Linked DNA regions of Lytechinus pictus. The protein of the gene in region 2 interacts with the protein of the main gene of each other region in a pairwise test. Links are inferred from orthologs where the notes say so. Each region holds a gene or a part of one and is shown on either strand. Other genes may lie near its edges.

The links.
Region 1: the proteins of intersectin-1-like (region 2) and splicing factor 3B subunit 4-like interact in a two-hybrid assay, tested with the Caenorhabditis elegans proteins (2 studies listed by BioGRID). The link is inferred for Lytechinus pictus from reciprocal best matches to the Caenorhabditis elegans genes itsn-1 and sap-49.
Region 3: the proteins of intersectin-1-like (region 2) and E3 ubiquitin-protein ligase NEURL1B-like interact in a two-hybrid assay, tested with the Caenorhabditis elegans proteins (2 studies listed by BioGRID). The link is inferred for Lytechinus pictus from reciprocal best matches to the Caenorhabditis elegans genes itsn-1 and F10D7.5.
Region 4: the proteins of intersectin-1-like (region 2) and protein numb-like interact in a two-hybrid assay, tested with the Caenorhabditis elegans proteins (2 studies listed by BioGRID). The link is inferred for Lytechinus pictus from reciprocal best matches to the Caenorhabditis elegans genes itsn-1 and num-1.

Annotation. Positions count from the first base shown.
Region 1 is NC_087258.1:12,072,131-12,079,805, reverse strand, and holds the start of splicing factor 3B subunit 4-like, read right to left. Parts: upstream 3,020-7,675; coding exon 2,905-3,019; intron 2,543-2,904; coding exon 2,397-2,542; intron 1,054-2,396; coding exon 925-1,053; intron 249-924; coding exon 68-248; intron 1-67. UniProt on the Caenorhabditis elegans protein: Subunit of the splicing factor SF3B required for 'A' complex assembly formed by the stable binding of U2 snRNP to the branchpoint sequence (BPS) in pre-mRNA.
Region 2 is NC_087248.1:26,509,449-26,516,930, reverse strand, and holds the start of intersectin-1-like, read right to left. Parts: upstream 3,018-7,482; 5' UTR 2,841-3,017; intron 1-2,840. Other genes in the region: quinone oxidoreductase-like protein 1, read left to right, coding at 3,388-3,462.
Region 3 is NC_087256.1:2,719,453-2,726,712, forward strand, and holds the start of E3 ubiquitin-protein ligase NEURL1B-like, read right to left. Parts: upstream 3,006-7,260; 5' UTR 2,758-3,005; coding exon 2,700-2,757; intron 1-2,699.
Region 4 is NC_087251.1:3,401,054-3,407,921, forward strand, and holds the start of protein numb-like, read right to left. Parts: upstream 3,006-6,868; 5' UTR 2,532-3,005; coding exon 2,518-2,531; intron 1-2,517. UniProt on the Caenorhabditis elegans protein: Involved in the tethering and targeting of pkc-3 to modulate the intracellular distribution of the kinase.

The DNA.
Region 1 (7,675 bases), on a different chromosome or scaffold from region 2:
TGAATGTACAGGTCAAACCATTATCAATTTTGTTAGAAAATTATTAATTAACCCATTAGTTCCATACCTGCTGCCGAGCCGTGCCTCTCTCCTCTCGAGTCTTTCTTGAAAGCAAACGAGATGGTGATCGCCCTGTTACACAGATACTGTCCATTCATAGCCTCGATGGCTGCGTCCGCTGCCTCAAAGCTGGCGAAGTTGATGAAAGCGTATCCCTTGGAGTTCCCGGACTCCACGTCCCTCATTATCTATGAGAGAGAAAGAGGAAACTTAGTATTGTTCTTATTTTTTTGTTTGTTTAAATATAATACTTTGATTAGTTTGTTTTTTGTGGGGAGAGAAAAGGTGAGCATTCAATAGTGGTCCATATAATAATGAAACACGATGTGAATCATCAACATTATGAAAGGTAGGCCCTTTGGAAGAATTAGATTTTCACAAAATATTCTGCAACTATTATCCTCATCCCTTATCCAAGTTTGAATAGGGAAAAATTGTTTGGGGTAACCCGATCAACCTTGCAACCTTGGTAAAACCTGCAGAGTGCAGACTAATATTTTTCAAAAATTCCAATTTGAACCCCCCCCAAAAAAAAAAGAGAAGAAAAATGTGCCAACAAGGCCCAAAAAATCCCTAATTTTCATACCATTTTTTTTTTTACAATTACACATTCTAAAGCGATAAAAAAAATTATAAATTGGCAAATGACAGTAGAACATCCTCCATATTCTGAACAGAAGACACTTGTGCCTAAAAAACCCTCAATCTCCATTAAAAAAAAATTTAGGAACTCTTTTTTATACCCGAAAAAAAAGAGAAAATACTTCAAGCATTAATAAGAAATACCAACCGACCCCAACCTTTTTCCCTTTGACGCAGCAAACCATTTTTTATGGCATTATATGAATGTAAATCAAGCTTTACCTTTGGTGTTTGTAAGATGACGCCAAAGGCACTGAATGTATCATACAGGAGCTTCTCATCAATCTCAGGATCTAGGTTACCGATGAAGATATTCGCTCCAACATCCAGGTTCTTCTGATGGGCCGATGCCTAATGAGATTTACATGGATCTATTAGCCACACAATATCATTGAGTGCGAGATACACAGCTTTCATGAAGTCAAAATTAATCCTGTTTTGATCTTCAAATTGTTAACAATCATTTATTTTCTACTCATTTTCATACTTAAAATAATGATGAAAGAAACGTTATTTTGAATAGTTGCCAATTTGCATTTTCAAACACTGATTTGTTATTACTTTTATTGTGTTGCCGATTTGGAGTGTAATGATTAGCTGGTAAATGGCTTTTATTCAGGACAGACTGTACCTTATACTGCAACGGAAATGATCTCATTTATTTTTAGGACATTTGTTCTTTCTTACCACATTCCATGTATCATTGCTAGCAAGCCATGGCGTGTGTTCCTTCAGCAAGAAATTTATCCACACTGTGCATGCTGCACTCAACCCAGGTGAGGTAAATGGATATACCGGCAAGAAGTTTTCCTCAAAAAGCTGTGTGCACCAGAATTGGTAGACTAGCTTAGCCGGGGTAATATAGGAGCGCCTTGAGCACCTAGCAAGGTGGATACGTGCGCTATACAAATCCTATATTATTTAAATATTATTCTAAGAGAAACGGCAAAATTGTGTCCTACAGGAGAAATTGTACTACCCATAGTTATGATAGCTTTGTGTGAAGAGCATATATTAATATTACCATGGAATAATTTTGCTTTACAAATTTCAATAGCATTTTTTGGTCATTAAAGAGAAAAGCTCTCAACTAGTAATGCACAGTCCTATGTAAAAATATGCTATACAAATGACTTCATGTGCAGCAATCTTTAAAAAATGTGGAGCAAACTGCGATGCGACACCAGGAAAATTATTCCCTGTATTACCATGGCAAAGCATTACCCTTCAAGACCAATGTGTGTGCAAAGTCTTGGCTGTGAGCTGAGGACATATTCTAAGTCAGTGGTGATCTTGGTCTCACCCCTATTTTGTCTACTGCCAATTTGGTTGCAGCCTGGATGATCTCATCTAGGCCTAGACTCATCAAATTTTATGTACGATCAATTCCTCTGATGACCTCCCGGTGGGTGTTTCACAAGTTACAAGAGAATTTATGAATGAGTGATGATCCATTATTGTGTTAAATGATATACACTAGAATTGCATCTATAGGTGTTGATATAATTCCTAAGAAAATATCACCGGTCGATCGTAAGGTAGCTGGTAACTTACAAACAGTTCTATGATATACCCATCTTGTCTAACTGCCACTTTGTCCTTTTTACCATTACGTCTAAATTCCTATTTAGGCTAATATAGGGGACAATTCAATTTTCTCTTTACATACAGCATCCAACATGGTATCAACTTACCTTATTCACTCTGACCGGTTTACCATAGAGCTTTATCATGTTCAGCACCTTGATGGCATAATCGGCATCCTCCTCCCCCATGAATTCCACAAAGCCATAACCCTGATGCGACTGGGTTACTCTGTCCTTTGGCATGTGGGTGTTTACTGAATGAAAAAGAAAATTTGGAGATGAGGTTGCTACTTAATACTAAGAACTACAAGTACATGTTTGCTGATTTCTTGAAAAAAAAATCAATTGGAAATCCTTTGGCTTTACACAGCTTCTCTTGTCATAGTTTCCATTCAATTTTCAATTTCCTATGGCTATTAGTGGATGTATTCTATAAATACTCATACTTCTCATTTACAGTATATAAGGGATGCGATTATTGTTCTTCTATTTGACATAGCTTACTCCTAACAAGCCATCAATAAGAATTCTAACTTTGTGTTTTCACAATGAAGACACCTTCATTTCTTCAAATTACAGCCCTCATTTCATTCCTTATAACAAGACTGAGACTTACCGACAGGACCGGCCTGTAGGAAGAGTTCCCATAGTAATGCCTCTGTCACCTTCTCATCCAAGCCTCCGACATAGACGGTAGCATCTGGATCATCAAAAAAATGACAAGCAAACATCATTTGTCATTTTCTTCTATAGTAATAACAACGCGCCTCAGAATAGAATAGTTCTAGATAGATGGCGCTATATAAATGCCTATTATTATTATTATTCAACTCAAATGTAACACGATGATGAATTGAATTGAATTGAATTGAATTTATTAGAACTTCACTGGCAATTGCCAGTATTTTGTTCATAACAAGGGCCCGAATTCACAAAGGTGGACTAAAGTTATACCCGGGGTATAAAACGCGTCATTTGACGTCATTTTAATCCATGGACTAAAGTTAGCACCTAGGGGCTAACTTTTGCGATTCACAAAGGTCGACTAAAGTTATACCGGGGTATAAAACGCGTCATTTGACGTCACGACTTAGTCAGCTCTTTGGGGTGGACTAAATCGGTGGGTTAAAGTTAGTCCACTGTTTTAACCAATCAGAGAGCAGCATTTCGATTGCGGAAAAGTTTGCTGCAAGAAAAAAGTTTTTTGGACAGAGACGAGATTCGGTGTGATCGGCTTATCTAAAGCTTCATATTTCACGACTTCGACCGAGATTGTAAGTAAATTACATAATTGTTGGAGCTTAAATCATGACGGAGCCTTCAGTTCCATCTGTAACTATTATTGATAGCTTTAACTTTCCAAAAGGTATACTCGAAAACTTGAAATGGTATCTGAATCATTGTTATCGTCGCGTCTCTAAGCTGCTCAGTCCCAGCCATGTACTTTTGTGTGCGTTCATATCTATGAGCATTGCAGTGCGAGACGCAATTAGCATACACTACACAGGCCAGGTAGGCGTGATTGAAAGGTCGATACTATTTGCTAGTTATGTCAGGCAGTGAGTGATTTTCGATTTCGTGTGATTTTCATGGATTTTTTGTTGTCTACGATACCCCTGCCACTCCTCCTGGCCCTGCCAACACAGCTACTGTGCATCTAATTTTGTCTGAGACTGAAGCAAGGCCAAGGCAAGTCCAGGAGAGCAGCAATACAAATAAGTTTTTTTTTAACACTACAATACAGAGCCGGTCTAACTTAGACATTCTACTCTGGGCTGGCTTTGTCTTGGCTTGGATAGATGGTCAAGCTATGAAGCTTACCTGGTAGCCATGTTAGAGTTAGTCCTACAACATCGTTGGAGTAAAAAAAATATTTTAATAAGGGTCAACTCTAACTTAAGCCTAAGGCTAAGCCCTGATTAAATTATTTTTTGAAAAAATATTTAAGAAAGATTGGGTTCCACTCACCGCTGTTTACTCCAACAGCTATAAATGAGCTGATTTTACTTTTACTAAAACTAAGTTTTACTGACCTTCGGCATTGCATTTGCGATCACTTATAGATTTACGGTGTCGTCAAAACATTAAAAAATAATGGAAATCCTAGGCCTAATTGATTATTTGAGTAGATCTAACTGAGGTCTAACTTTGAAAATTCTCTCTTTAGGGGGTTATTATAAACTCTACCCCACCCTCTTTGTTTCAAGTATTTTTTTTTCACAAGGAGTCCCAATGTTATATTCACATGAGACCACAGACAAGTGCATTTGATCTTCAGTCCTCTACATTTGTAGTAGACCGATAAATAGGTTTATTTCTGTCAGGGATATGCTCCCCTGAGATTTCATGTGGCTCCGCAGCATCCCGTCCCACCAAAAAAAAATCAGAAAATGTTGAACGACTCCTCTGAAACAGCGGATTTTATCAATCTACATTTGTAGCTGCTTTATTATTTTTTTCTTTGATATACCTTGACATTGCAGTATGATTGATGAATAAATATTTTTTTCATTATTTTTTTTCTTCCATATCAGCAACAGACCATACATACTCGGCAGATTGTGCTCAATCAAGACAAAGCAAACATGGCTCCAATTTTGAACTGCTGTGCCGTCTTGCAAGAGAGTGAGGTATGCCTTATCAATTCATATTTTAAAAAAATTAAATGTCATTAAAATGGCCTTTTTTAATAAAATATTATTTCTGGGATTTGAATTCATCATGTAATTGTAAATGTATCATGTGACATGTATGTTACTTTTTCATTCTTGTCATAGTAATTGACAAAAAAGAAGAGGGGGGGGGACCTTGCTTGTGTGTTATTAACATATATATTTGTCTACTGGTCACTAGGCTTGTTGATCTCCAATTAATCCTGACATTTTGTTGAATATTTATTTAAAAGAGAGAAAGAAAGCATTGTCAGTTTGATGAATGCCGGGGGGGGGGGGGGGGTAGAAAAAAAGGTTTAATGAGACTTTGATGAAGATTCATGAAAATATGTTATTCGAAAGTCACTCGCAAGCAATAACCTCTATTTGTGTAAACAAAGTTCCATAAAATTAGTGCCTTGCCTTCATTATTAAAGCCAATTGAAAGTGATTCAGTAAATCAGTTTTCATAGAAGCATCTCTATGACGTGCGTGGTTTGATCAATGATGATGATCAGCAACAATTGGCAGGGTTTTTTTCTTCACTTTTACAAGTAGGTAAATAGAAAAGCTACTCATGTCAATTAGAATTTTTATCCTTTCTTTTTTTTAAGGATTTCTGTATAATCTTTCACATTCTGTTCCTCATTTTAAACACTTTTGAATTAAATGAAATTCAAAGATAAATTGCCCATTCATGGTGACTCTTAAACACAATCTTTTAACTTCCATGCAGATTCAGCAACACATAGAAAGACCACAGCATGGATTAAGAGACAGGAAGAATCCATTTGAATACTACGAGGATGAACCTCTCAGAGTGGGGTACCAACAGAGAGAACCACACATTGCCTGTCATGTTACAGGTTTTGACAGGACTTTGTTTTATGTCATTGGTGAGTTTTCATGTGCGAACTGTAAAGCAGAGGGTAATTGGGGGGGGGGTCAAATTATGTTCTATGAAAGTGATTTTCCAGGCCAAAAATGATGAGATTTTGATAAAGAACAATTCGACTAGCAAAAACCATCAATATTGGATGGAGAATTATGAATTGATTCAGTTTTAAAGTTTTACATAACTTGGGGGAAACAGTTCTGTGTATCTCATATGCAATATTCATATCCCCACTTGTTCTCTAGTGATCTGAAATCATAATCATTATTTTTTTTCCTCCAGGAATGTAAAAATGGGGTTGACTGCTGATTATATATTTAAGATAGTTATTGCGAGTTCAGAATAATGTAAGGATCAAGGATTGGAAGTATCTAGTCATGAAAATTAAGTTTTATGTTTTGCTTAGCATGCAGATTTTCCATTGAGTAATTGTCGCCAGAGCAAATATCATGGAACCCTTGTACATTCATGTGTGGAAAATGTGTGGATGTGACATCATCAGGCTATTTCTTGCATATTCATGAAAACATGCACATGTTTCACAGAAATAATTAATGCAAAACCTAATATTCATTATTAATCATCCAAATTGTATGATTTTTGTTTCTGCTTTCAGCCAGGAGTACTAGTAACCCCTTACAGGGGAGGGGGAGTGTTGGGGGTATTTCACAGAAAGGTTTTTGTCGGAATGAAACATGTAACCCTTTGGGTTGGAAATAGGTGGGGATTTTATTTTTCTCTCATTTTTTACAATGTAGCAACATTTTTTAATACAAATATGTCATATTCAAGTGGGAAATTATCATGAAGGATGATTTATAACCACCCAAAAAGAAATATTGGTATGTCATTTCAGCTTAACAGAGATATTCTCCATTTTGCATGGATTGTTATTGCAGTAGAGTTTTTTTTTAATGAATCGAAGAAAAATCTCTTTAAGCAGTTCCAGTGCATCATAAACATCAGGTCATAACAGAAGCACAATGTTTGCAAACGTAAATGGTTAAGTATCAATTGGCTTTCATATCAATAAACCAATTACATAACATCACTTATCATTCAATAATTAAAGGTACCTTTTAGAAGATGCAAGCAGACGAAGCAACTATAAGTCATCCGTGTGCAGAATCATCAAAGATTTTTCTGAGGCAATAGCAAGGAGTAACAGTCAATGAAGTTTCCGATGACGATAAATTCAAACCACCCAGCGACAATTTGATGATTGCTACAGGTTTCCAAGAGTCATAGGTGCTATTGATTGGGGCCAATCCAGGCCATGTCTGCATCAGGAGTCCTGATGGGGAACAAGCCCTGTACTTAGCAGGAAGAACAGGTCTTCTGTAAATGTATAGGTTGGTATACTCACTCAGTTTTTAATGTGATATTCTCTGTATTCAACACCTACTAGAGGTATGTGATAATGAAGAAAAAATATATTGGCCCCTACTACATACTGTCTTTTATCAAGTTTCAATCTTGTTGTTGGTCAAATTTTCTTGTAATTTTATACTCTTAATATGTGAAATAAGACAATTTTAAAGATTTCACTGAAGAAAAAAATATAGATAATCTGCTAACTTTCCTATTGCAGGAGAAATGAAAAATAGAAGAAAAAAAATGCATTTTGCTTATTCAGGTAAAGGAGGTATTAATTTCTTGATCAATGAAGATATATTTGCAGAAAGAATACCGAAGAGCAAATTTTCTAATATTCATTTTGTTTTGATCCTTATTGCAGGTATCCGTTGCTCCCCTCTTTGATGAATTCCTGCCTGCATTCTGTTGTCAATAGAAAAGGACGGTGTGCTACGGGTATAAGCATTCCATTGGATTATCTGTGC
Region 2 (7,482 bases):
AAAATGTTGATAAGTGTCTGAAAACGACGAATACGAGTCCAGTTATGGATAACCTGACGTGGTAAAATCTTTATCGATTCCATTATTTTATTAAAAAATGAATGGTTTTGTTGCATTTTACCAACAGTTTTTATAGTTACTGTGCATTACAATTATTATTGAATGATCTATCACACAAGTTTTTCAATGTAATTTCAACTTCTATTAATGATTACGTAAGATTATAATTTTCAAATTTCGAGGCACTTTCGCATGTCATAGTCTACCCACGTGAAGCCACTATGTCATTAAGAAAGAAGTTATGACAGGTTCAGAGTTGTCATAAAATAATATTTAGTCAGGTTGTTGTCCCCGATCTTGGCAGAGGGCGTCGTGAAACGGTAAGCGGACAAGTAGCTCACCATCTTCGATTTAGTCAAGAAGTTAGACTTATGACGGTGTTGAGAAACGGGCCCCTGATATTTGACTGGAATCACAAGCTTATTTTCCTATTTTTCAGCAATGACACAATTTCTTGCTGAATTTTATGACACAGTATCTTTTTCAGTGCAAAGATACACTTGGATGGTATGAACCCATTTTGAAATTGTTACCACAGAGGCATTTATCTTAGAAATCAAATGTACGTACAAGAACATTTATTGATTGATTTGGTTTGCATTTTTTCCCCCTGATTTTAGTGGCAATAGCATTGATTACTACTTGCTTTATCTATTTTAAAAAAAAATAACAAAACCCTTTACATGTACATGTACATCATGACATCATTTATCATTATTTTTAATTGAACAAAGAATAATTCATTCAATATTTGAAAAATAATGAGCAATATTTTCTTCCACCATACATGTAGACCAAATCAAATATTATTATTTTTCATCACAGAACATAATTGACAACAAAAACAAAAAACAAATGATCCATGTGTGAAGTTTTGGTTTATCAGGTCAGACATAATTTTTCTTATTTCTTTCTTAACTTAACATATTGCTATCTGCTATGGCATTCCTACAAAAATTGAAAATTTATGATTTGTGCAATTTGCCTATTAAAAGGAACATGGCTTTCAAATTCACTGACATAGGCATTTGTGATTTGATGATTATTCATGTATTCCTTTCAAAATATTCATTTTATCACATCCAAGATGAAGAGTAATAAATAGAGCCTTCATAATCACTGGTATTTGACAGTAGCCTAAACAATAGTCAAATGTGCCAAAGGCAGACAATAAACAGATTTCCAAACTTTATCCCTGATGTTCTATTCTAGTCACCTGGTCTATACAATGCCTTTTGCTCTTAGAATTTGAATACCGTACTCTACTACTGGTAAAGCTTACGCAACATCTACATTTGAAAATGATAGTGCTTATCCTAATGAAAAATCACAAAGGTCATTTGAGAAAAGTTGATCATGAGCTAACCGTGAACTGGCTTATTAACAGATGGGATACCGCGGAGCATATCAATTTTAAATCTGTCTAGAGTAAAACCCCCAAACATCGGACGATTCCAAATATCGGACGGAAATGACGTCAACTCGATCCTCCCCACAACTACAGGGACCTGCACTGGCGGGGGACTTGCATGCATTGAGATACATGAACATACCTACTATTGAACTGCACACACAGTAGATCCAGGTTGCTGCTCAAACAAATATTCCAGGGGTAAAATCCATGATTTTGACTTCCAAAGTGGCAAAGATTCTTATGACCCTCGCTAATTATGGACTCCAGAAGAATCTCTTAAGGGGAAAGTGATTTTCGCCGGAAATATCACCGCCGAGACCGCACCCATGTTCGATCTATCGCAAAAAAAAATCTGCAATGGCCGCTGCAGGGTTCCCCATGGCAGGAAATACATTGTATGGCACGATCCCAAACATCGGACATATCGGCCGATTGAATTGGAAATGCGTGAGCTGTTAACGCACGCGCGCTCATTTTCAGAACAAAGTCGCGCCCAGCTGAGCGAAGACGTCCGATGTTTAGAGCCGAAAGAGGTCCATTTGGTAAGTAAATTATTATTTACCGATTTCTATATCAAAATCATTGATAGAAATACCTTATTAAAATCGGCATTGCGCAGCTAAAATTATTTTATCAACAATTGAGCAATTATTTTGGAGTCTAGAGCGCGATTTAAATTGCCAAAATTGATCGCGGCAGCGGCGCACAACTCTACACGTCCGATAATTGGAAACTGCGTCCGATTTTTGGCAAAAAACAAGCTTCTGGTAGTAAGTAAATAATTTCCGTTTACCATAATTTTTTCAATTCTATTTTCTATGACATTAATCATGTTAATATTCAACATTTGTACTACGGAATTAACATGGCTTTTATATGATTCAGTAATTGCATTTTTGTTACTTTTGGTCATATTATTAATTTTTTATGGAATTAGATCTATGCTTTGGAGTTTTTTTGAAGTGTCAATATATATATTTTTGGGCACACATTACAATTTACATGATGACTCCGGCATCCGGCATATTTTTTTCAATTCTATTTTTTTATCATGACATTATTATTAATATTCAACATTTGTACTACGGAAACAGACATGATATTTATTTGATTCAATGATAGCCTATACACTGCCCACACTCCACAGTCACACTAGTGCACCACAGCCTCAGGCTCAGGCCAGTGTGGTCACAGGACACAGCCCAATAATAAAGCCAAGGAAAGGCCTCATCAGCTCAGTCATGTCACTCAGTGGTGGCAGTGCTCACCGCTCACAGACAGTCACACATCCGTCCCCACTCACGCAGGTCACATCAACGAGTGCAGTGGCAGGCTGGCAGCACATCGATTTGGAAATCATACTCACCAGTAATACTCTAATATTGATGAAATGTTTAATAAATGACAGAGGTCCTTTGAAAAGGGTGAACGAAGGGGGATTCTAGTAAAAAAAGAAGTTAATCAACTCAGCTCGGTTCGATCCGGAGACAGAAAGTGGACTCGCCCATCTTGCTACATGTAGAACCTAACTTAGAGGAAATGTAACCCACCCACCTTTATAGAAAGCGCAAGTTTGATTGGTCAATTTTCTGAGAATGTGGAATTATTACAAGTTTCAGAGTAGACACGGAATGAATGATACTAGCTACAGACTTGGCAATTCTGTAATTGAATCATCTGATACACACATTGCACAATGAAATATATTATTCGATTTATAAAACATCAAGAAAACAAGCAAATCAGTCTTCAATAAAAGTTCTAACGTTAGCACGCCCCTTCTATACGAACCAATAGAAATCCATGTAACAGCAGTAAATAATCACAATTATGACCTTTGACATATATCGTCTGCTTACGTTAAGTTACTGGACTTTCGGTCAATTCAAGCAGAAAGCCAGAAGTGAATATTCATGATGAAATTCGTCTATTGGTCAGTAAGATCAGACGGTCCGCTCATAAAAAAAGAACTTTTACTTGGGAATGAGGTGAGTGACGTGAATCTGTAAGTTAAGACAGAATTTGAATCGAACTATGGGAACTTTGATTTGATTTTGATGATGATTGCATCCGTGTAAGTACTACTAAGTTATGTGTGTGCGTGCCTTTGGCTTCCGCGCCCTGCACTCAACGTGTCATGGGACTTGGCATGCATGCTCTGCCTTTGCTCGCCGCGCCGGCGGCGCGGCAGCCGCCGCGGCAAGGCCAAGGGCGCAGCCGGGGCCGAGGCGGTCCAGGACATAGCTGAGTGAGTGAGTGAGGGAGGGAGGGGTGACTGAGGGTTGGAGGGAGAAAGTCAAAGAGCTGGTAGGGAAGGAGTGAAGGAGCATTGACAAAGACATTGTTTTGAAGTTCTTTTTTAACTAATAATGTTAGTTGTTATACTGACTGTAACTGGTAAAATAAAAAGGATGGAGTGATTAATTTAAATTCAAATGCAAATCATGACGTAGACATCTGCCAGCTGTCTGTTTCGAGGAGTTTTTTAACATTTTTTTAAATAATAAATTTCTCCTCGTACACAGACGGCTCGCTATCGTGCAGCCACCATAGTAGGGGGTAAACAATGCAAAATCCCCCCAATGGGGCTCATCAATTTTTGTCTTTATTTCATAAATATACAAATTACAAGGAGAACTGTATACACCTCCACTCCAGTTTAATAAACTCTTCTTGGACTTGGACTTGGAGTATTTCGGAGGAACATCATACCAAGTATCCGTTTACGTGTTTTGGCCTGAAATGCACCAAAACGGGGAAAACTAAACTTAAAAGGGGAAAAAACAGTGACTTACTTCGGCTGTTGCGCAACTTCACTTCCCTGTTTTATCCGAACTTAATACATAAACATATGGCCATTGAGTCCCTGTACAGATCGAGCTAGAACTTTGGTCTCTGTATTTGGTGAGTGGAGCCAACGGAGTTCAGTGGAACAGCCAACAGACCGAAGCTTTTGGTCTAATCATGAAGCTTAAATAGCTCCATGGTCTAATCATGACACTGCATGGACACAACTAAATTATCCTGCTCACAAATTTCTGAATAATTGAAAAGGTTACCTTCTTCGCTGATTTTTAATTAATGCACTTCTTTAGCCTAGGTGGGTGTTTCATGAAAGTTGGCAGCACTAAAAAGTTGTCTTTCTCCTACAGTAACCATAGTAACAGTCAGAGGCTTGACACTGCATGCATGGACACAACTAAATTATCCTGCTCACAAATTTCTGAATAATTGAAAAGGTTACCTGCTTCGCTGATTTTTAATGCACTTTAGGTGCCAGGGTGTTTCATGAAAGTTGTCAGCACTAAAAAGTTTCTTTCCCCAACAGTAACCACAGTAACAGTCAGAGGCGGGAGCTTCTCAGCCAATCAAAAGCGAGGCTTTCACTAAAATGGTCAGCACTGACAATTTAGTCAGGGCTGACAACTTTGATGAAACACCCACCTGGATGCGAAATCGAACGATACACAAGACCAGCATGATGATGATCAGAGCTCACTCTCTCACAAGTCATCACTGGGACATAGTTTGCACGTGGGACAGATAATGTTTTGACATATTAGCCACAAATTTATGTTTTCAGTCGCTTATAATATCAAAATTAATTCCATATAAAACCATGAATATCTTGATCGGGAATTTACATTTATATATCCTGTACAGTATCCAGTAAATTTGCCTTTTTATAAAGAGGCAAATTTAAGTTTGAAGAGGAGGCAAGCGTAGCGTCGTAGGTTGACTATAAAATAAAACTATATGTTTGAAGAAAAGGAATGAAGGGAATAACTTTAATGTTTTGATATTTCTATATTTTAAAAATATTTTGAAATATTTTGGATAAAATTAAGAAGTGGCAAAGTCTGTGGCATGGAAGAAAAACCAAACTCACTATTTGGATTAATACTCATTGTTGACTGAAAAAGGCAGAGAATCGAGATCGCACAGTTCAGTGAGTCAATATGCCTAAGTTTTTTTTTGCAAGATTCACTAAATTGCCAGCCTATTTTTCAGCAGACCCAGACCTATAAGTTGTACACAAAATAAATAACAGACCATGAAATACTGATTTATGATCAATAATATATGGGAAATAATAAGATGGCAAATATAGCGATCTTCAACGCTTATATATAAGCGTCGAAATTTGTAGCCATCTCCTTGTATTAGTCTATAATATACGACGTGTCAAATTGTCAAATCCAGATCTCCTCTATATATATATATACCAGGGGGAATTGTAGCGAACTAGTTCGCTATTTTCCAGATCTCCTTTATATACAAACGACGGGAAATTGTAGCGAACTAGTTCGCTATTTTCCAGATCTCTATATACATACGACTGGAAATTGTAGCGAACTAGTTTGCTATTTTCCAGATCTCTATATACATACGACTGGAAATTGTAGCGAACTAGTTCGCTATTTTTCGGATCTCCTAGATATGTACACGAGGGGGAATTGTAGCTATTTCCAGATCTCTATATAAATACTACGGGAAATTGTAGCGAACTAGTTCGCTATTTTTCGGATCTCCTCGATATATACACCAGGGGGAATTGTAGCAAACTAGTTCGCTATTTTTCGGATCTCCTCTATATATATACGAAGGGGCATTGTAGCGAACTAGTTCGCTATTTTCCAGATCTCCTCTATATACAAACGACAGGAAATTGTAGCGAACTAGTTCGCTATTTTTCGGATCTCCTCTATATATATACGAAGGGGCATTGTAGCGAACTAGTTCGCTATTTTCCAGATCTCCTCTATATACAAACGACAGGAAATTGTAGCGAACTAGTTCGCTATTTTCCAGATCTCTATATACATACAACTGGAAATTGTAGCGAACTAGTTCGCTATTTTTCGGATCTCCTCTATATATATACGAAGGGGCATTGTAGCGAACTAGTTCGCTATTTTCCAGATCTCCTCTATATACAAACGACAGGAAATTGTAGCGAACTAGTTCGCTATTTTCCAGATCTCTATATACATACAACTGGAAATTGTAGCGAACTAGTTCGCTATTTTTCGGATCTCCTAGATATGTACACGAGGGGGAATTGTAGCGAACTAGTTCGCTATTTCCAGATCTCTATATAAATACTACGGGAAATTGTAGCGAACTAGTTCGCTATTTTTCGGATCTCCTCGATATATACACCAGGGGGAATTGTAGCAAACTAGTTCGCTATTTTTCGGATCTCCTCTATAACCTTGAACCTTGAAGAAGTACTCTCCCAAAAGCGTACACGCTGTCCTGGAGAGGGTTGTGCTATGTCAGGTGCTGCCAGTGCTTCAGGTGATGTGGTGATCCTGTGGTGGTATTCTTGGTGCACTATATACAGTGTGCTAGGTGCAGTGTGCGGGTGGTGCGTGTGTGTCCCTCTTACAGCATCTTAAGGGGAGGGGGAGGCAACATTTGCTGAATGATAGGCAATGTTGCTCCCCGGAAGCCAGGTATAGAGGTCGAAGTTACAGCAGCGTTTGGGAGAGTATTCCAAATACGGATGGTTCTTGGGAACATACTGTACATGTAGCAGTTCACTCTACAAAAAGGCTGGGTGTACTTGAGCTGATGTCCAGTGTGTTGTGAACGTTGTGGACGAGAACTGCTGCTTAACTTAATCTGATGTGGCATGTTGATGTAAACATAATTGTGATGAATTTTGTAGAACATCTCACATTGGCTAAGAATGCGTCTGTGTTGGAGAGTATCCCAGTGAAGAGTTGACAACATCGATGTTACACTGGATTCTCTGCTATAGTCATGAAGGACAAACCTAGCACCCTGACGCTGAATGTTCTCAATAATGTTTGTACATCTTTCTGTATGTGAGGATTCCATGCACATGAAGCATACTCAAGTTGTGGTCTGACAAGTTGCTTGTATGCAATGTCTCTCACTTTCAGGTCACATTTACCCAATGCTCGACGTATGATTCCAAGAGTACGAGCAGCTTTGGAGGATATCTTCTGTGCATGGGAGTTCCAACTCAGGTTGTCTGT
Region 3 (7,260 bases), on a different chromosome or scaffold from region 2:
TAATTATCGTACCTTTGTCTGCTTGATTTGGTTTCTAAAACTTTGCAAACCGATCGTACGCAAATTAAGGTCACACTTTTTTATGAAACTTTTTCAGCCGAGCGCGCACTAGTCGATCGCCATGGAATTTTAAGATCGCGATACCCTAAGGGGGTGTTGCAAGAAAATGTTTGCGATCAATCGCAAATATTCTGTTGCAATTTACAACTGATAGATCAACGTTAGCTGTAGCAAATCAGATTAAACTTCTTGTTTCAAGGAGCAGATTAGCAATTACTAATTTGCAATTAACTGCAAGACATATGATAGACCAAAAGCTTCGGTCTCTGTAATGTTGGTTGTTCAGCTGAACTCCGTTGGCTTCACCCACCAAATACAGAGACCGAAGTTCTAGCGCGATCTGTACAGGGGACTAAATGGCCATATGTTTATGTGTATTAAGTTCGGATAAAACAGAGCAGTGAAGTTGCGCGACAGCCGAGGTGAGTCACTTTTTTGTTCCTTTTAACTTGATTTTCCCCCTTTTTTGGCCATTAATGCCAAGAGGGAATATTAATTTGCATTTCGGTCGCGTTAATTTTCAAAAGTTTGATTCATTAAAGACAAAAATTGAACTTAGCCCCGATGGGGGGATTTTGCATTGTAAGTCCCCTTATGGTGGCTGCACGATAGCGAGCCGTCTGTGTATGAGGAGAAATTTAAAAAATAAAAAAATGTTTAAAAACTCCTCGAAACAGACGGCTGCCAGCTGTCTAGACATATGATTGCTTTAGGGACCAAAAATTGACTTGCAATTGATCGCAAGTTTCTTGCAACACCCAATAATACTGCGTTCAGAAGCATCCATATAGGTATAGGTATCTTTAAATTACTAGAATTGCGAAGATATGTATGCGCGGTCAGCAGACACATGGTTTATCGCGAATCGGCAAATATTAACAAAGGAACCTGCACCACAAAGCATGATGGAATGAAAAGGGGGCATGCATAGACCTCTAACGTTAGACTGCAGCTGCATGTGCGCAGAGCTAGCTACACGTGACGTAGCTTGCCCCCTTTTCGATCCCACGACGCATTGCGGTTCTGATTAGCAATAGACCTTATTCATTAATTGTCATATGCAGGCTTGGTCTAGTCTTGAGGACGCAATGATGATGATTTTTAAAATAATGAAATATACTTCTTCATCATTGACGTCTTGACACTCTTCCCCCAGTCGCATAAGAGAAGGACCATAATAAAGATGGATTTCCCTCGGAAATCCATCTTTAGAAACAAAAATCACTTTAATTGTATTGATTTCATTAATTTTCACACCTTCCTACGCCTAATGCGTAGGAAGGTTTTAAAAATTATAACATGAAAATGTGAAAAATTTAAGGTTTCTTACCTAACTGATGCTGAGTAAACCCCTCGATCCACATGTAAACAACGTAAGTACAATAGCGTCGACCCTTGAACCACTTATGTATGACGTACTTCTGGCTAGCAATGCCGTTCTGATGAATAATTTATAGAAAAAAAAATTATTTCGCAAATGTTAAAATTTATCACGTAATTAAGAATAATTGGTATGAAACTGACAATTATTTTTAATTTACGTGATACATTTTAAAATTTGCGAAATAATATTTTTTTTCTATAAATTATTCATCAGAACGGCATCGCTAGCCGGAAGTACGTCATACATAAGCGGTTCAAGGGTCGACGCTATTGTACTTACGTTGTTTACATGTGGATCGAGGGGTTTACTCAGTCTCAGCATCAGTTAGGTAAGAAACCTTAAATTTTTCACATTTTCATGTTATAATTTTTAAAACCTTCCTACGCATTAGGCGTAGGAAGGTGTGAAAATTAATGAAATCAATACAATTAAAGTGATTTTTGTTTCTAAAGATGGATTTCCGAGGGAAATCAATCTTTATTATGGTCCTTCTCTTATGCGACTGGGGGAAGAGTGTCAAGACGTCAATGATGAAGAAGTATAGGCCTATTTCATTATTTTAAAAATCATCATCATTGCTAGACCAAAAGCTTCGGTCTCTGTTATGTTGGTTGTTCAGCTGAACTCCGTTGGCAAGCTTCACTCACCAAATACAGAGACCGAAGTTCTAGCGCGATCTGTACAGGGGACTCAATGGCCATATGTTTATGTACTTAAGATCGGATAAAACGGGGAAGTGAATTTGCGCGACAGCCGAGGTAAGTCACTGTTTTTGTTCCTTTTAACTCGATTTTTCACCGTTTCTTGGCAATTAATGCCAAGAGGGAATATCAATTTGCATTTTGGTCGCATTAATTTTCAAAATGTTTATTGATTAAAGACAAAAATTGAAGAGCCCCGACGGGGGGATTTTGCATTGCAAGTCCCCTAATGGTGGCTGCACGCTAGCGAGCCGTCTGTGTGTATGAGGAGAACTTAAAAAAAAAAATGTTAAAAAACTCCTCAAAACAGACGGCTGCCAGCTGTCTACATCATTGCGTCCTCAAGACTAGGCTTGGTCATAGTCATACGGTAGATCTACTAATTAAAAAATGTTAGTGTCAAGACTGATTAATGTGTTTGTCGTCACGTCAGTGAGATAGATAGGCCTGACATCTTGTCACCTGTGCAGTGGCACTGGCACAAACACAGTGCAGTGTGACTGTGTGTGTGAGTGGCATGTCAACTGATCGACGGCCGACCCATGGCAACTTACCATTATTGCGATTATTTTGGGAGCTGGGATTCGGCGGTGCTGAAGTAGTCTGTCCCATTTTTTACCCTGATAAAGTAGACTTCAATTTCAAAGTAAAATTTCAAAGCAACTCCTCGCTCTCCTGATCCTTTCTATACTGCATTCGATTTGTTCTCCCATGTTAATTAACGGAAGAAATCTCGATCTTCATAAAGATAATATACCGGTACCGGTACACGTACGTACACAGTACAGTACAGCAGGCTGAAATTCTTGGAATCGGGATCATATATTCATGTACGAAAAGTGTACCTCGTACGTACGTACGTACGTGCGTGCATATATCGGTACGGTGTACGATCGCTGGGTGTGTGCGTGTAAACATCGCACCGGATCCGGAAAGCATCTACGGGCCACGGCAGTCAAAAGGTGATCTCTTCGTAGCCTGGCGCTTAGCGCACGTAGCGTAGCTAAAATAATTAATCAAGATGAAAATAATTTCAATCATACTATCATCAAAATTCCAAGGTCATTCAGACCATGATCTTTAATTGGATGTCATATTGATAGGCCTCAGCTCAGTGGCCTTGTATGTTTTTGGCACTCTTTGAATTTTCTCATTTATGTAAAAATGTGCCCTTTTAGTTTTATTATCGGCAGTGCCCTAAAACTAAAAGTAATTGAAATTTACGGGCCTGATGGAGGCCTATAAAATAATGTGCATTATTAGAATATATCTCTATGAATTCAATGAATTACTACTAATTATGCTTTATTTCTATCATTATATCCTCTCTCTCATCTAGTATGAGTATGACCACTTTTTCTTGGAATGTGATCTCTCTCTCACACAATGACACTGCATTCGTAGGCCGAATTAATGATGACCATTTCACTTTCGATCTCTTATCTCATATTATGACAATTTTCTGTAATTTCGATCTCTGTCTTTTATGACCAATCTCTAAATTTCTTCCACACTGTGGCCACTCTGTCTCTTATTTTGACCATGATAGGTCTATATATCCCTCATTATGACCACTTTAGTGCTCTCTCTCTCAAAATGACATCTTCACGCCTAACTATGACCACTCATATACTATCATGACCACTTTCTGTAAATATGACCCACTAGCTCTCCATCATTATAGAATGTTAAAACAATGGTAATATCTCATGTTCATGAGGAACAAAACTTGTTTTACACGGACAATGAGGTGAAAATTAGAATATTTCGTATTTCATATGATAAAATACAGAACTTTAGTGGGGTGTCATCAGCTCCCTCATACCAACCAGGATGCATAACTGTTTGGTGAAATCAAGTGAAACTTAGAAATGTCATAGCTTCGTTATTTAAAATTGGATTTTGATGAAATTTTCAGTGTTAATCTTGTTGGATTTTTCACTTATCATTCAAATCAACTTTGTGTAGGGTTGGACTTTCTTCATCTGACCATTCTTATTACCTCTCTCAGTATGACATCCTTCTCTTATCATGACCACTCTTCATACTTTAATAAATAAATAATGACCATATATACTGTACACTCTCATTATGCCCACTTTTTATTTCTCTCACAAAAATCTCCTCTATCACACATAACATTCAGTCTCTTCCTACTTACATATCATATTCACTCCATGCTATAGAAGGAAAAGTTTTTTCTTGATAATTTTACTTCTTCACATCGTTTCCCACTAATATGGGTACACAATTCACAGATAAATTCAAAGAAGTTTAAATCAGCAGTATACTAGATTTAATGATATATACCACAAATATTATGATACAACACATAGATTATAGACATGATTACATGCAGAGGCAGTTTGTAGCATATTTGCAGGCCTTAATACAAATTGGCAAAAGACAGGCCTATATATATTGGGAATAAATTACAATGCAAGAAATATACCCAATGTCATATGGGTTGTCTGTTCAGAAGATTAATGGAAACAAGCAAATTTTGACCAAACCACTAATTTCTCTATTATTTCCAATCATTGTTTGTGTAAGTGTAAGAATAAACCATGAAATTTAATGCATTAGGTTACATACATTGATTGCCTTAGGCAACATGCATGGATTGCATCACAATAAAGCAGCACAATATGTCTTATGATTACATATTTGCATAGTTAGTTCAGAAGAAGACATAAGGCAAACCAATAGACTACTTTCATTCAAATACTGTCTCAGCCCTTCCTAAATTCTTTACAGCACAGTCTAGAAAGGCCTTGAATTCCAAACCCAAATTGACCAAATTTAAGTAATAGACAACTTCAATTAATCAATCAATAAATCTAACATTGGAATTTTATAATCATAAAACTTGGTTGAAAAAAAAGAATCATTATGTTTTATCAAACTTGGATATCAACAATATAATAGAATAATCTCACATGTTTTGAAAACAAAATTTCATATATTGCAGCTCTTGCTACAGAAAGAATGAGAATGCACGATTACTCTGCAAGGAATGTGCAAGATCAAAATAAATGAAGGGAAGGGTTAGAAACTTACACACTGATTATAAGCAAAAGGATAAGTAATATCATCATTTTAGATTTGCATGTTTGAAAGTTAATCAATATTCAAACAGCAAAATAAAGCCAATTCATTACTATCTTTCTGATAATAGCCAAAAAGAAAAGTAATTAAAACTTGCACTTGAATATTATCTAAGATATAGTTGACACACACTAAACAACTTTAAAACCCTTTTTAAAATAATGCCCTGTATGTAACATATGCATAAACATTTTATATTGCTTGATTTCATCAGTTTGTTGCTTAAATTTCTACAATCCTTTATCACATGATTTTGTAAGAACAGATATACACCCCAAAATTTTAGTTTGAAGTGATGAATAATTTTCATTTTTACATACCAGTTAAAAATAATGACATTCCTTTTCAATCTTTAGACATAATAGAATGAACATTCATATGGATACATTTCACATATGAAAGAATCTTTGCACTGAGAACAAATAGCATTTAAAAATCTTGTATGGTTTGTGTCAGACCATTAACCATGTGTAAACACTATAGATAAAATAACCCTCATTTGGGTCACTTCTTGTCTGAAAATATAATTTTACTCCCTTCTGCAGAAAAAAAGGAAAGTTCCTTTTTTCTGAACTCAAAATTTTTAGGTTATCCAGTTTTTTTTTTTTTAAACCAAAATTTGATTTTTGACAGGCACTGTTTGTGTGAATGAGGGGGGGGGGGGGGTTAATGGAAGAAAAAAAATGTCATCAAATTCAGGATTTATAAAAAAAAACAAGATATTTGAAATACAAACAAAATGTTCAAAGTTATGGAATGAACAAATAATATAATAAAAAAATACTCCCAGAGTTTCATTATTATACAAATAAGGCACCTTTCAAGTTCTCCTTTGGCAAATACCTGGAAATGTATATTATAAAAAATATAATTACTATTATTTTCTTGTCTTAAAAAATAATCAATTTAAAGCACAATATGTGACAACTCTCTGAGTAACAATTTTATACAAATCAGTTCCTTGTTTTTACCCATATTTTTATTCATCACACATACAATGATAAACTTAAAGCTAATTGAGTAAAGCAGGAATACAAACAGCAAGCTTTGGAACCTTCAACCAGCCACATAATGCATCTTAAGTATAAAGATAATTGAAATATATTAATAAATACAATAGAATAGCAACATAAACACTTTAATTTCTACTCGTTAAACAATATTAGTTGGTATTCTGATAGCCAAGGTTTAGTTAACCCTGGGTTAACCTAGACCACACTTTTTTATGAAGTGCCAGTTGTCAACTTAATTATCATGTAAAAATAATTATCATCCAACAACAATAGAAAAAAAATTGTCATGAAATGACAGGAATGGGAAAATAAAAATTTCAATGTACAACTTGGTACATTATATTTGCCACGAAAATTGAGGAATTATCACGATACCAAGCATCGCATAGAAGTGTGGTCTAAAATTCAAGTTTAAACAAGGGTTATCAGAATACCACTCACAATGTTTAATCTTTTCTGTTTTAGCAAGTCAATGGCATCATGGATTGTGAACTCAAGGCAAGACGGCATGCTATGAAATGCAACTTACAAATCCATATAACAGAAATATGAATACCTAAAGATTAAAAATGGAACTGAAGCTTAAATTCAAGCTAAAAATATGAGGTAGGGGCTATCAAGAATAGGTATGATTTCAGCGTTACTGTAAGATTTATATACAGCTTCTATAAAAGCTGCTATCTGTCATTAATTGAGATATTGATATTTATGGATGCTTTCTTCCTGTTAACTTCCTGATAGAGTATTAAAACCATCACTAGTGGTAAATATTGCTGATTGAAAAAATGCATTGTAGAATGAAATCAATGTCAAGCTTCTGCTATTTGTATACCAATTTTGATCGATACTTTTGATATTGCTGTAAAAAATGGAAGGGTCATATGCCAAAGGGTAAATTCCACAGTTCATACTGCATGTGTGGGCAGTAGCTAAATGCATTTGTAATTGCATGTACTGGTTCGGAGCTTAAGCTGGCTAAATATGGTCAATAATA
Region 4 (6,868 bases), on a different chromosome or scaffold from region 2:
TCTTATTTCAACATGTTATGTACAACAATTTAACCATGGAGTAATACATGTAGCTCCATGTTTTAACTATTTCTTTCTAGGGCAGCAAATCAGTATTCAATTCAAGAAATACAGGCAGCCAGCATCATTAATTAAACTTCCACTACACTGCTTCAATTTAATCCACTTATCTTTGGTCATCACTTATCTGCAGATAAAGCTGATAAACTAAATTTGTCATGCAAAGTTCATCAGAATGGCATGTATCCTAGGATTATAATTTACAGCATGAACCTGTACTCAGATAATGCAGATTGGCAATACATGTACACTGTAACATGTACATGTACACTGTAACATGTACATGTACATGTGCTCTGTAAAGAAATCTGCCAAAGGAAAACTAAGCAAAATTGCAAATTAACAACATTTATTCTAATCTCATTCTTTTTCTTTTGATTTCAACCAAAGAAAAAACATGAAATGTCCTTTCTTGCATGGGCTGAGAGCTGTTTGTTTTTCACCAATGGGCAGATAATCCAGTTAAAAAATAGAGAGTGAAATAATGAACAGGTGTATAAAATCCCTGAAATATATGAAATAAAAGAAATTATGGTAAATGAATAGGCTTAAATAACTTATAAAACATGAAAAATAAGAGGCTAAAAATATGAAAAAATCAAGAAAAATTATATCGAATACAGAAAACTAAAAAGAAAGGTTGTATAGAAATCATCATTTACATGTAAATGTAAAAATCAGCAATATTTAAAGGGTCTCCAGGAATTTTCCAGTCCCCATCAGGCATCAGCTTCGAATGCTTTTCAGATAGTGATGAATTTTAAAGGGGTACTACAGGATGAAAATAATATAATTTGAAAATTTCATCAAAAAAGTTATTTCAATTCAAACTTTTGCATGTTTCTAATAGCGGAACAGTTCTACAATGTACATGTATATGCCTGGCAATGAGCAAGCTGATATCATACATGTATCCCCACTTTTTTCTATTATCATTATGAAATCGTTTCTTCAAATTTTGTCCTCCAAGAATTGAAAAAAAAATATTGACTATTGATTCAATATTTCAATGTGTAAGATAATTATTGCTGCAACTTATTTTGTTGCATGGGACTCTTGGGAGACATACATGTACCATACTCATATATGAAATAATTATGATTTTAAGAAAGTAAGGACATGACATCCGCCCATCTATTGCATTTTCATGACATCATGATGCCATAAATTCTAGATTATTCAACTAATTTCATTTTTTGTGATCAGATTTTGATGGAACTTTCAGGGTTTTGTTTGCTTAATTTTACTCTATTTAGATTATTTTCAGCCCGGAGTACCACCAGTAAGACAGGTATTTTTTGGAGAATGACAAAATTTGTTATTCTATCTCATTATTCTTGGGTTGAGCTACAATTCAATGGTCCTCCCATCTATTTATTTCATTGCAGTTTACTGAGGCCTACCAGTAAAATACACAGTAATAAAATTCTGATCTGAGCAAGTATAATATTCAGGTGCAAGCTTTTCGATATATACAGTAGTGCCCACTTGCCATCAAATCTACTTGACCTATGAAAATTTAGTTTGTTTCTTTATTGCCGAAATTTACTTAGGTCCCATATCAATAGAATTTACGCTGTATCAATTCAGAACTGGAAAAATATTTTTTTCAAATAATTACACTGTAGCTATCAAGAGCAGCATTTAAATGTGTCTACAGGTGCTACATTGTCGGCTTAGCATAGAGTGTGGCTTGATGCTATTACCAATACACACACAAGTTAACTGATGGCATAATCATGTGCTCTATGAAGACATTATACCTTCACCTCACTCTGTACTTTCATACATGTACCTCCGCCTCGCTCCACACTTTTTGGATATCCAGCATTTACATGTAGGATTTTTGCTAAATTGAGGAGTGCATGGCATATTAGCTAATGTAGCTACTTAAATTGCCTGGATTCAGTTCATGTTTGAACTGAATTACAATGTATATGTAGATGTTGTCTACACAAAAGCCAACAAGAAAAACAAAATGTATGTGTAAACTTTCAAAACAAAAAAATTCTGAAATGAAGGAAAATCTTCAATAATTTAGTCAAACTTGTAACTAAAATCAACAAATGCATTAAACACGATACAAACAACAAAGTCTAGTGTGAGCAAAAAAAACTTGACACCTCACGAATCCCCAATGTACATTGTAAGGGAAAATATGTTATTAACACATATATGTAGCAGTGTAGCCTAATTATTATAATATAAATGGCCTGAAGAGTCAGGACTCCAACATGTCCAAGGAGGCAATAAACCTAGTATTTTAATTACATTTTTATGATAAAAATGAGTAAAATGTGATTTGCCTGCTGCTCAATTAGGAAAGATTCCTGTTCTCAAAATTGTTTTTAAAAGAACGAATTAAAACTTAAATCTACAATAAATAAAAGGTCAAATGAAAACACCTGGCTGTAACAATACATAGGTCAATGTACAGTATATTAACTTTATACTCACTTGAGTCTTCCCATCTTGATTTCTTCTGATATGACTTTACTCTGTTGTTAACTAGTATAATACATGAGAAGAAGACCACTGTTTATATCCAATGAATATTCCACAATGTTTAGAGGTAAAGGTGGCGAGGACATAGGTGGCACAGATACTTCATTCTACTTGTAGTTGTAGTATAACAAAACACAGCCAATGAGAGAATCCTCAATGTGTAGTACTTCCCTGTGCTAATACAATACTGACTGACCAATAGTGCAGTTTGTGTATACAAAGTTTTAGGATGCTTCAGTAACCCCCCAAAACCCATGCAAATAACTTTCTCACATACCAGAGTGCTTAGGTTGAGATTAGAGTATTCAAACAGTGGGGGAGCATTTCAAATGGATTACCCAAGCCTGTCTGTGTTTTGTATGTATGCATGGTGAGCTACACTAAGCTAAATTGAGGGATGTATGGTCTACAGAACAATGCTTGTCTGCCATTTATCCTACAAAAGCTCTGCTTTCATGAAACATTCTGATTTTGAAGGTGACTCATAATTACACTGCACTTCAATGAGTGCACGAGCAATACACTCTTTGGATAAACACAAATTAAGCAGTTGCTAAGTTTCACATAAGCTTAGGGCTCTGAAACACCCCTAAAACAAAATGGTATGTGCATTTACTACTCCTAATGGACCATCCCTATGGGGGTCATAACCTACCCCATGAAGCATCTCAAAACTATGCAATCATTTCTATATGTACATGTACATGTATACCAAACTGGAATGAAACTAAAACCTAATTTCTGTTCAATCCAGTCTCAAATTGTTTATTCTAACGGGATTACCTCAACACATTCCTGGAATCACATAACTCCATATTTAAGAGTTTTAGGGAAATGTTTCATTTTGGGGGGAAACACTGCATAAACCTGGTGTAAACACACATTTATTACCTCTTTGAATCACTGAGCAGTCAACAAGCCAGGTGAGGGGGTGTGTTATATTCAATTCTACAAACAGATTGTCACTATTCATCAAATGGATTAGGTTCATTCTAGGAAAGATCAAAGGCTAGAAGTCCTAAAACCATTCTTTTACAGGAATTGTTCCCTCTATAAATCTAGTCTCAGCTCTTAAAAGGTAAATTGAGATATAGGACACAAATACAATATGCAGGTACAAGAAAATAAGCCCCACTGCATTGGGCAATTTGGTGGATTATAAACCAATCAATATCTTTAGGGGTTGATAGGATAGATATCAAAGACCTCCTTGCCACAAGGTATCAAATCATCGCATTATGTTTTAGACCTGCCTACTATGAGAATGTATACATCTGTTTTCATCTGAAAGGACTATTAAAGTTACTTCAATATTTTATTCATTATACTAATTTTTTCAAAAATAAACTTTATCCTATTTTTTCAAATTTCATCTTGAGTTTATAAATGCACATTGATCAAAATGAATTTTATAAGAGTATTCATTAAAAGACAAACAAAAATAATAATAATAATAATACTTCTCTTATATAGCGCATAATAAACTGAAAGTTTCTCTATGCGCTTTACAATAAAGGATACAAAGTACATATACTACAAACAAAGAAAATAGACTTGTGAATTACAGAATTACTTAATATTTCAACTTACAAAAAAAAAAATGATGTCCAGGTACAGGTATTTCTTTCACAGGGGAAGTTCCCTCTGACATATAAGTTTGTTATAAAAATACCGGAAAAATAATAAGAAATATATTTATGAAGGATTGAGGAAAATCAATTTAAAGATTGTTATTAGAATTTCAAGTTTTCAATTTGTGACATCATGGAGCTATTACAGAGAACAGCTCCATGGTGACATCATATACAAGCAGCTGTCTCACATGTATTGCCATGTAATATAAAATGTATCGATTTCAATTTTTAATGGGAGATGGCTAGAAATTTTCTTTTTTCAGGAGTGCCTGTGAAATAGATTGTTGATCAAAATGAAGGTACAATAAACCCTTCACCATACATGGGAAGCTGCTCTCATGTGATGTCTCAAATAAAAAGAAAATTCTAATAACTTTATAAATCTTTGATGGATTTTCCTCAAACGTTCTCAAATATTTGTTTTTCTATTTTTACAACAATCTGTTTATCAGTGCATGGACCTATTTCCTTCAATCCATTGATCTAGATCATAATGGTATGCTCCCAGCACTCCTCAAATATAGGGAGTACGTACTATCCACAAAACTTCAAAAGGGTATAAAAGTGACAAAACAAATATGTGAAAATTTGTTAAGTCCCAAGGAAAAATCATGACAAAATATCACATTTTGCTAGACAAAATTTAATATTCATAAATTAATAAATATCCCTCCAAAACTATTTTACCCCAAAAACATTAATTAAAAAGAGGGTACTTTTGTTAAAATAAGATACTTTAACAAAATGTCAGATGAAATGTTTAATATAGCCTATAAAAGCCTGGTAAAAGGTCAATAATGTGAATTATAATCAAAATGGTGATTTTCCATGGATTGCTTTAACTTCTCGATTTAATATTTCAAAATGTATTTCCTGTGGGTAGTGGGGTTTATTTTCCCTCCACATCCTTGTCACATTTTCACTCCTTTATGAAGTCCTATGAAAGCAAAAGCAAAGGTTTCCAAATGAAAACAAACTCTTTCATGATCACAGAGGGCAGCAAATATGACCAAGGTAAAAACAGCATGATTTTATCAGTGAAGTACAATGTTCAATTTGTTAAAATGTCATTGGAAATTAGTTGGATGTCATTCCATAAATTCCTATTAGTATCTACAGTAGGGTTTGACTGTAAATTCTAGTATTGTAAAGTTGTACAGTAAACATCATTAGCCTTCACAAAATACCTTCACATCATAACAATTTGATACTGTTCTCTTCCATGATTTTGTTAAGAATATAAGATGATAGCTCCTGAAAAGTTACGGCAAAGTGTTTTTGCCTAAAAAACACTCAGAAAAAACACACACAGCTTTGGGGGATTACCCACTTTGCATATTTTACATACGTAGGCCATCATTACAAAATGCATAGACTTATAATTGAAAAATTGTTGTTTTTCAATTTGAAAAAGATATTAGTGCATCATAATCATTGGCAAAATATGAATGTAGATACATGTACAGACTTGTACAGTATCAAAGCGTCATGTAAACTTGAAACACTATGTACACAACTATCTAAGTAGAAGGTACTATCATCAACATGTAAATATGCCTACCGGTACATGTAATTTGTAACTGAACATGGACTTTGAAGTTTGAACATGAAATGTAGACCCAAGGCCAAGTCAAAGAAAACAAGAAATCTTTGAAAATTGTGTTGAGGTTTAATGAAAAAGAATCATGAATTGAAGCAACTAAGATAGATTAAATTGATTCAGACAAGAAATCACACAAGATATGACCTTTTCATATAGGAACAACCATACTTCTCCATGGCAAACTGTCAAGTGTCATTGATGAATAACATTATAAAACCAAGTACGGTAGCAATGCTAAACTTTATCAAGTAATGATCGAAGGTCATGGCATGCATAATTCTAACAATTTTAACATGAATTAGATCTATCTAGATTCTACATTTCTAGATCTAATTAGAAGTTAGAACAGAAGATTGCAGAAATTATGGATCGCATATCACATAGACCACAATTTTTTGCTTGCACATTCTATTCAGAGTCAAAGTCTTTAGAAAAGAGAACTTTCATTTTTCATATTGAGATTCGTGTACCGGTACTAACGTTAAAACTGTCTACCGCCGTAAAAAAAAAAGTACCGGTATACGGTACCACCTCCCAGGCTCCTGCCTCTCTAAATCCGCGCCCTCCGCCTCCGGTACCGTATACCGCATAAATACTTGTCGGCTAATTAGGCTAGATCTAATTTAATACTAACGTTAATTAGTCTCAGTGACAAATAAAAATCTGAAATTCGGCTAGCAAGAAAAATACATACCTAAATATTAAATCTGCTGGTTTTATCCTCAAGTTGAAGTTCCGAAAATCCCTTCTATAAAAATTGATAAATTTAAGGGCTTATCTCCTGTGGTGTGATTACGTAGCTCAGTCATGGGTTCATGGCATGGGTTATCTTCTGCTGATATTTCTTCACGGTATCTTATTATCGGTAATATCATATATTACCGGTACACACGTACACACATACACACACACAACGAGTATACCATACAACAAAGCCATACACACACAAAAACACTTGCATCGCGATATGGCTGTGCAAAATTACGTGCAATATGCAGCATTCTGAAAGGGTGGCCGTGGCGCCGCGTTCTTTTGCAGATGATATTTTTCAGCAGCTGCTCTTTTC